Anolis sagrei: one gene and its partner. Each later gene encodes a partner of the first gene's protein in a complex. Links are inferred from orthologs where the notes say so. Each region holds a gene or a part of one and is shown in the gene's direction. Other genes may lie near its edges.

The links.
Region 2: the proteins of WWC1 (region 1) and DDN are in contact, whole or in part, in a crystal structure (PDB 6J69), measured with the Mus musculus proteins. The link is inferred for Anolis sagrei from reciprocal best matches to the Homo sapiens genes WWC1 and DDN. Residues at the interface, in NP_740749.1 of Mus musculus: Glu13, Glu14, Ala15, Arg16, Asp17, Tyr23, Ile25, Asp26, His27, Arg30, Thr31, Thr32, Ser33, Trp34; in NP_001013763.1 of Mus musculus: Tyr227, Val228, Ala229, Pro230, Pro231, Ser232, Tyr233, His237, Arg238, Thr239.

What each region holds. Positions count from the first base shown.
Region 1 is NC_090022.1:105,773,796-105,777,548, reverse strand, and holds the start of WWC1 (protein KIBRA), read left to right. Parts: upstream 1-951; 5' UTR 952-1,196; coding exon 1,197-1,315; intron 1,316-3,753. UniProt on the Homo sapiens protein: Regulator of the Hippo signaling pathway, also known as the Salvador-Warts-Hippo (SWH) pathway.
Region 2 is NC_090022.1:138,067,101-138,070,853, reverse strand, and holds the start of DDN (dendrin), read left to right. Parts: upstream 1-1,048; 5' UTR 1,049-1,407; exon of another isoform or gene 1,408-1,486; 5' UTR 1,487-1,492; coding exon 1,493-1,569; intron 1,570-3,753. UniProt on the Homo sapiens protein: Promotes apoptosis of kidney glomerular podocytes. Podocytes are highly specialized cells essential to the ultrafiltration of blood, resulting in the extraction of urine and the retention of protein.

The sequences.
Region 1 (3,753 bases):
CTCCCAACAGTTTGAGGGACTGTGACCTGGCCCTCTGTTTAAAAAGTTTGAGGACCCCCTGATCTACACCATGGAGGCTCTAGCTCTTTTGGGGAGAAATGGGTCAAGACCTTGTCGAACTGCAACTCCCAATGCAACATAACTAACATGCCATCACTTCACAGAACGCAGAAGCAACAGTAAGGTTGTTCACAAGGAAACAGCCCTCCAACTCAGGCATGGGCGAAGTTGGGCCCACCCTCCAGGTGTTTGGGACTCCAACTCCCACCATTCCTAACAGCCTAAGGCCCTTTTCTTTTCCAAGGGGCCTGAGGCTGTTAGGAATGGTGGGAGTTGGAGTCCCAAACACCTGGAGGGTGGGCCCCATGCCTGCTCCAACTCCACACCAGGTCGGACCAGGGGGGAGCTGCACCTGCTGGGGGGACCTTCCCTTTCCTTTCTGGGGCTGGACCTTCCTCAAGCAGAGGTGGCCAAGCCCGCCTCCTTTCCTTCTTCCTCTCCCTCCTCCCCTCCCCTCCCCTCTCCCTCCCTCCAGGTTGCTCTGCCCGCGAGGCCCGGGCGCGAGGCTGCTCATTCCTTCCTTCTGGGGCTTTGGCGCGAGGCGGCGCTTGCTTGCTTGCTTGCCTCCCTCCCTCCCTCTCTCTTTCTCTCTCAGCACCGCCGCGGCCGTCTTGACGGGAATAGCAGCCTCCCTCACATACTTTGGAAGGTTTTCTTTCTTTCTTTTTTTTTCTTTTTTGGGAAACAAAGTTGCGCCGAGGCGGCTCTGCTACTACCTGTATTACAGTAGCGCCGGCAGAGGAGGCGGGGAGGAGGAGGAGGAGGAGGAAGGAGCCGAGGAGTTGGAGGAGCAGCGGCATTTGGCAGACTGAGGAGGAAGGGGCGAGCAGGCCGGCGGGAAGCGCAGCCTGAGGACTGGCAGGAAGGGGCTCGTGGAGAGAGAGAGACACCTGCGGGGTTCCCGCCGGAGCCTGGCCCCTCCCCCTCCTCCTCCTGCTTGCCGAGGATGCGAGGCGCCCACTCCCGCCTTCCCGACGCGGCCCCTCGCCCCCCGCTTCTGCTGCCGGGCTGGGAGAAGGGTGGTTGCTGCTCCTCCCCCTGCTCCTGCTCCTCCTGGGCCTGCTGAGGGGGCTTTGCATGGGGCCACGGCCGCCTCGGGGCTGGGAGGGAGCTGCGCCCCGCCGCCTCCGCCTAGGATGCCGCGGCCGGGGCTGCCCTTGCCCGAGGGCTGGGAGGAAGCGCGCGACTACGACGGCAAAGTCTACTACATCGACCACGCCACCAAGAGCACCAGCTGGGTCGACCCCAGGGACAGGTGAGGAGGAGGAGGAGGAGGAGGAAGAAAGGGGCGCGCGGGAGGGGGCGGGGAGCCTTGCAGGTGCCTGGGAAGAACCTCGGCACAAAAGCCGCCTCTCCCTCGCGCGCCCGCGCGTGCTCTCTCTCTCTCGTTCTCAGAGAGCCGGACTCTCGTTTAAGCGCGACTCTCAAGCAACCGGCCAAAAGAATTCCTACCGCCTCCGCTCAGCTAGTTTTAATCATAATGTCCTTGAAAGCGCCCTACTTCATTGAGGGCAGCGGTTCTCAACCTTCCTAATACAGTTCCTCATGTTGTCGTGACCCCTCCCCCCCAACCATAAAATTATTTTCGTTGCTACTTCATAACTCTTAATTTTGCGACTGTTTCGGAATCGTAATGTTGAGTGTCTGATATGCAGGATGGATTTTCATCTCATTTTCATTTCAAATTTGGCACAAATATTCGACACACTCAAATTTGAATACTAGTGGGGTTGGTGGGGGTTGGTTTTGTCATTTGGGGGTTGCTAGAATTTATAGTTAACCTACGGAATTGAACGAAACTTGGCACACAGAACTCCCACAACCAACAGAAAGTACTGGAAGGGTATTGGAGTTGTAGTTCACCTGCATCCAGAGAACACTGTGAACTCAAACAGTGATAGATCTGGACCAAACTTGGCATGAATACTCAATATGCCCAAATGATGTTTATTGATTGTTATAATGTTATTCTTTTAACTTGTTTTTAACTGTTTTTATCATGTTTTTTGTATTGTATTTGCTTTGTTAACCGCTCTGAGTTGTCCTGAGGGCTGAGAAGAGCGGTATACAAATATAGTAAATAAATAAATAAATGTGAACACTGGTAGAGTTTGGGGAAAGTAGACAATGACACTTGGGAGTTGTAGTTCACCTGCATCCAGAGAGCACTGTGGACTCAAACAATGATAGATCTGGACTAAAATTGGCACAAATACTCAATATGCCCAAATGTGAACACTGGTGGAGTTTGGGAAAAGTAGACCTTGACAATTGGGAGTTGTAGTTGCTGGGATTTTTAGTTCACCTACAATCAAAGAGCACTCTGAACCCCACCAACAAGAGAATTGGGCCAGACTTCCCATACAGAACCCCCACAAACAACAGAAAATCCTGTGTTTTCTGATGGTCTTTGTGACCCCTCTGATACCCCCCCCTCATGACCCCCCCCCGGGGTCCCGACCCCCAGGTTGAGAAACACTGATTGGGGGAATGGGCAATTGTTGAATTAACCTTTATTTACAAAGTATGCATTCCAACTTTATTAATTGTTATCCCACTTTTCTCCCATGGATAGAATTCAAAGTGGCATACAGTTGTTATAAGCAGCAGTCATTACATAACATACAAATTCAAACTGAGGATGCCTGCCATAGATCCAGGCAAAACATCAGGAGAGAATGCTTCTGAAACATGGCCATACAGCCCAGAAAACTCACAGCAACCTAGTGATTCCAGCCATGAAAGCCTTCGACAATACATTCAATTTTTTTAAAAATCTCAAGCCAAAGAAACAAATTGCCACTACATAAACCATGCAAATGGGCCCCTTGGTGGTGCAGCCGGTTAAATCTCTGAGCTGCTGAACAAACTGACTGAAAGGTCAGCTGTTCAGATCCAGGGAGCAGGGTAAGCTCCCACTATTAGGCCCAGCTTCTGTCAACATAGCAGTTTGAAAACATACAAATGTGAGTAGATCAATAGGTACCGCTTCTGTGGGAAGGAAACAGTACTCCATGCAGTCATGCCAGCCACATGACCTTGGAGGTGTCTATGGACAACACTGGCTCTTCGGCTTAGAAATGGAGATGAGCACCACCTCCCAGAGTCGGACACGACTAGACGTAATGTCAGGGAAAACCTTTACCTTTAAACCATTTATAACTAATTAATAACTTACAACAAATGCCATTAAAATTCACTGAACCTCAGGCCACTGGGGTTATCCATAAAAAGAGTTGTACTAAAATCTTAGGAACTCCGTTTGCATCAGGCCATATAGTAGCATTGCCAAGTTTGAATAACATTCAGAGATTTATATTACCACTAGCTATCTGGTTGTTGTCTATTTTAAGTCATCAGAACAGGCTTGGTTCCACAAAAAGGTTTTAATTTATAAATTAAAGGCCAACAAGGAAGGGGCCAATCACACCTTTCAACATTTATATATATTCCATGTTTAGAGACTTTTGGGGCACCCTATACAGCAGGCATGGGCAAACCTTGGTCCTCCAGGTATTTTGGATTTCCAACTTGCACAGTTGTGGGAGTTGAGGTCCAAAACACCTGGAGGCTGAAGTTTGTCCACGACTGCTATACAGAAAAATAATGTTACCTTCAGATAAGTTTTTCTTCATTTTCTTCATTAGCTGTTTGTTACTGGCTTTCAATTTTAATATCAAGTAAATAAAGAAT
Region 2 (3,753 bases), about 32 Mb from region 1:
TGGAATCCATGGAGAATAGAAGTCCCAGTGGACTGGAGGAAGGCAAACATGGTCCCTACTTCAAAAAGAGCAGGGGAAACCCAAATTTCAGGAAAACAGGTTCCACCTGAACATTAGGTAGACCTTCCTGTCAGTAAGAGCTGTCTGACAATGGAAAGTGTGGGGGAGTCTCCTTCTCTGGAAGGTTTAAAGCAGAGGCTGGATAGCCATCTGTCAGGAGTGCCTTCATTGTGTGTTCCTGTATGGCAGAAGGGGGTTGAACAAGATGACCCTTGTGATCTCTTCCAACTCTATGAATCTATGAGTCTATTATTTCCTTCCCAATTAAGTGTCATGGCATGTTATAGTTTTAGGAATGGCTAAATCCTACAAGGACAGATGTGTTGATTTTGGTAATGTAGTACAGCAGTGTGAGGTGAACAATATACCAACTCTCACATATCTGTGGCACTTAGCAGTGCAGCAAGATACAAGGGCAATGGAGAAATCAATATTCCTGGCCAATTTTATTGGTTTATTCACTTTATGTATTGGATTTCCATACCATTCTTTACAATAATTCATCCCAAATTGAAAACAAAAATTTTTGAAATGAATAATAGAAGACTTTAAAACATGAATATATACACCACAGTGCAATCTCCTGTGTTTAATGCACAACTTTCTCAGCATAAAAAACACGACACAACTCATTCTAGTCTCCAAGAGGCCAGCCAGATACCCACAAAAGACAATAACATAGAAGCAGGAAGCATTTAAGAGGTAAAACGTGTGTACTTTTATTTATCTTAATGTATCAACAGGTATAAAGGGGTTTCATGGGCAGAGTGAAAGAAAGGAGGGCCCGGGTTGGGATGAGTACTGCCTTGTGCATGAAGAGATGTGTTGAAGCCATGTGCGTTGCTTCCATGTGTGAGAAAACAGAGAATGCAGGCTTTTCCTGTGTGATGTGCTGTGTCCTTGTGTAGCTGTTGCTGTGTTACGGTTCTTGCAGCAGCTTGTGGTGGCAGAGATGCTCTGTGAGTGTATGTGTGTGGTCTCTATGTACAGAACTGAGCGTTTAGCAATGCGAGAGCATCTCGGTGGGCGTAGCTGCTTGCCTGATGTGCCTTTGCACGTGTGTGCACAGCCACGTGTCTCTGTTTTTCTCCCTGTATGTTTCTTCGCTTTCTCTTCATTGGCTTTACTTGCAGCCACCTGCCCTCGAGCAATCTGCTTTACCAACCGACCCTCGCCCTGGGCTGCATGCTGCTGGGAGTCCTTATCCTTCTACCTATCTGCCTGCCATGTGTTGCGTGTGGGGGCTGTAATGCACCCCCAGCCTTTCTCTCGTGGTGCGACTGTGTTGGCACCGGCAACTGCCCGATGTCCCGGCAACGAGGAGGATGCTTGAACGTTTGAATCCAGGTGATTTCAGGTGCCTTCGGGTCTGCAAGAGAACAACCTGTTCCTTGTTGCATCTAACACAGTCTCTCGTTCCAGCCAGATCACCATGGAAGCAGGGGGGACATGGACCGGGAAAGGCTACGCCGCCCCATGGATGTACCACAGTGTGCCTGGGCAGTACACGTGAGTCCTATACTCTTTTGAAGGGGGTGCTGCTTGAACAGGAGGAGGCAAAACCCAACTCCCAGCACTGGAGAGGGCTCCATAGGTTGGGATCACATTGCTCCAGGGCTGCATCAAGTGAAAGGTCACCTCTGGGATGGCAGAGGAGGTGGGACTTGGTTTAAGATTTGAGGGGGTTTTAAACAGTGGGTTTCAAACAGATTGAATAGTAGTTCATTAACATGGCTCATAGTAGGTTTTCACTTCTTTAAAGCTCTGTATTATCCCAATCACCTGTACAAGAAACAGCTTGTATAGTGATATGTCCATAATATGGACTAGGATGCTGAGGCTAAAAGGTATGTCATAGTTGACCTCCAGTTTGAACTGGGTACTTGGCAGCTCATTGTATATGCTCTTAAATATGATACCCCTCTATTTTGGAGCCTCCAGTGGCGCAGCGGGTTCAACTGCTGAGCTGCAGAACTTGCTGACCAAAAGGTAAGCAGTTTGAATCTGGGGAGCGGGGTGAGCCCCTGCTGTTAGTCCCAGCTTCTGACAACCTAGCAGTTCGAAAACATGCAGATGTGAGTAGATCGATAGGTACTGCTTTAGCGGGAAGGTAACAGCGCTCCATGCAGTCATGCTGCCACATGACCTTGAAGGCATCTATGGACAATGCTGACTCTTTGGCTTAGAAATGGAGATGAGCACCAACTTCCAGAGTTAGACATGACTAGACATAATGTCAAGGGGAAACCTTTACCTTTAACTATTTTGGAGCTAGTATATTAGCTTGAACTGAGCTTGGGCCACGGTTTTAATTTCCAAAAAGATAAATGCTAAGGTTCAAATATGCTTGGAAGTCATAAATCTGTTTTTTTAAAAGCTCATGGGGCAAAGAGCAGCACAAGGTGGGCATGTAGACAGGCAGTCAGGTGGTATTTTGTACATACTCAGAGGCACTCTTTTTTTGCCAAGATACTGAATTTGAGGATCAGTCCAGTTCAAGGATCATACTCTGTTTAGATGTAAGAGACCCATTCAGGTTCAGATTGTTTGCTGAGCTCCGTTGCCTTTTATCTGTCAGCTGAACCTGTTCACTGGGGTTCAGCTCAGTGATGCAAGGACTGAAAACCGCTTTGTACTTATAGAATGTTCTGGAAAATAAAAAATAGAAATAATTCATTCAGAAGAATATTTCCTATATCCACCTAGCTGGAACTAAGTTGTTATTTTGCACTGCTTGCTCCTAATATGAATTTATTTGAAATACAAAACATCAAGATTTATTATGGGAATAAAAATTGGGTCTGTGTTAGATTATGACACAGAGGAAGCCTGTCCAAGTCTTGTCTGAAGGGGTGGGGGTTGCATAGTAGTTTTTAAAAAGCAGGTTTACAAAGTGCACTTCACACTAACAATAAAAATCTGAAAAGAAAGATTGCTTTTCTCTTTGCTTTCCCCCTTTGATCCATAGCTACAATTTATATGTGAACCTTTCTTGGTTCAATAATAAAATTGCCTGCCAATCCATCTGACAGATATGGCCAAAACAAGCCCATCTGAAACACAGATTCCCCATCCCCAGGTTCAAAATAATTCTGGATTTTTAAAAGGTTTCTGCAAAGGTTTCCCTAGGTTCATGTAGATATAAACCCCCATTCCATTTTTTTCTGTGTCAGGAGCAACTTGAGAAACTGCACCGGGAGCTCCAGAGCCAGATCAGAAGCTGACTGCATAAGCAATTGCACCCACCAGACCTGAGCCTCTGCAGCAGTTTAGGGTACCATAAGGGCAGTATATACAGCACTGCCCTTCATACTACACAGAAATAGTGCTCTGATTCCAATTTATTTCTTATGGCAATATCCCGTCGGATCTTGGGGTCTGTAGTTTATTGGGAGAGCTCTTTGGAATCCAGAAGGGAGCTCTTCTGGTGCTTCTGACCAAGCTACAAACTCCAAACAGAATCATTGTCCTATAATTGTATAGTACTTTTACTTACTTACTTACTTACTTACTTAGGCGATCCCTTGTTTTCCGAGGATGATTGTCTTCCAACATTCTTGTGGGTCTGTATGTGGCTGTGGAGCCCTATTCTTGCTCTGCATCTTCTTCCGCAGTGAGGGCATTGGTTTCCAGGTGGGAGGTGGTTCCGGTCGGGGTTAGCTTGATGCGCCTTCCTCTTGGCACGCTTCTCCC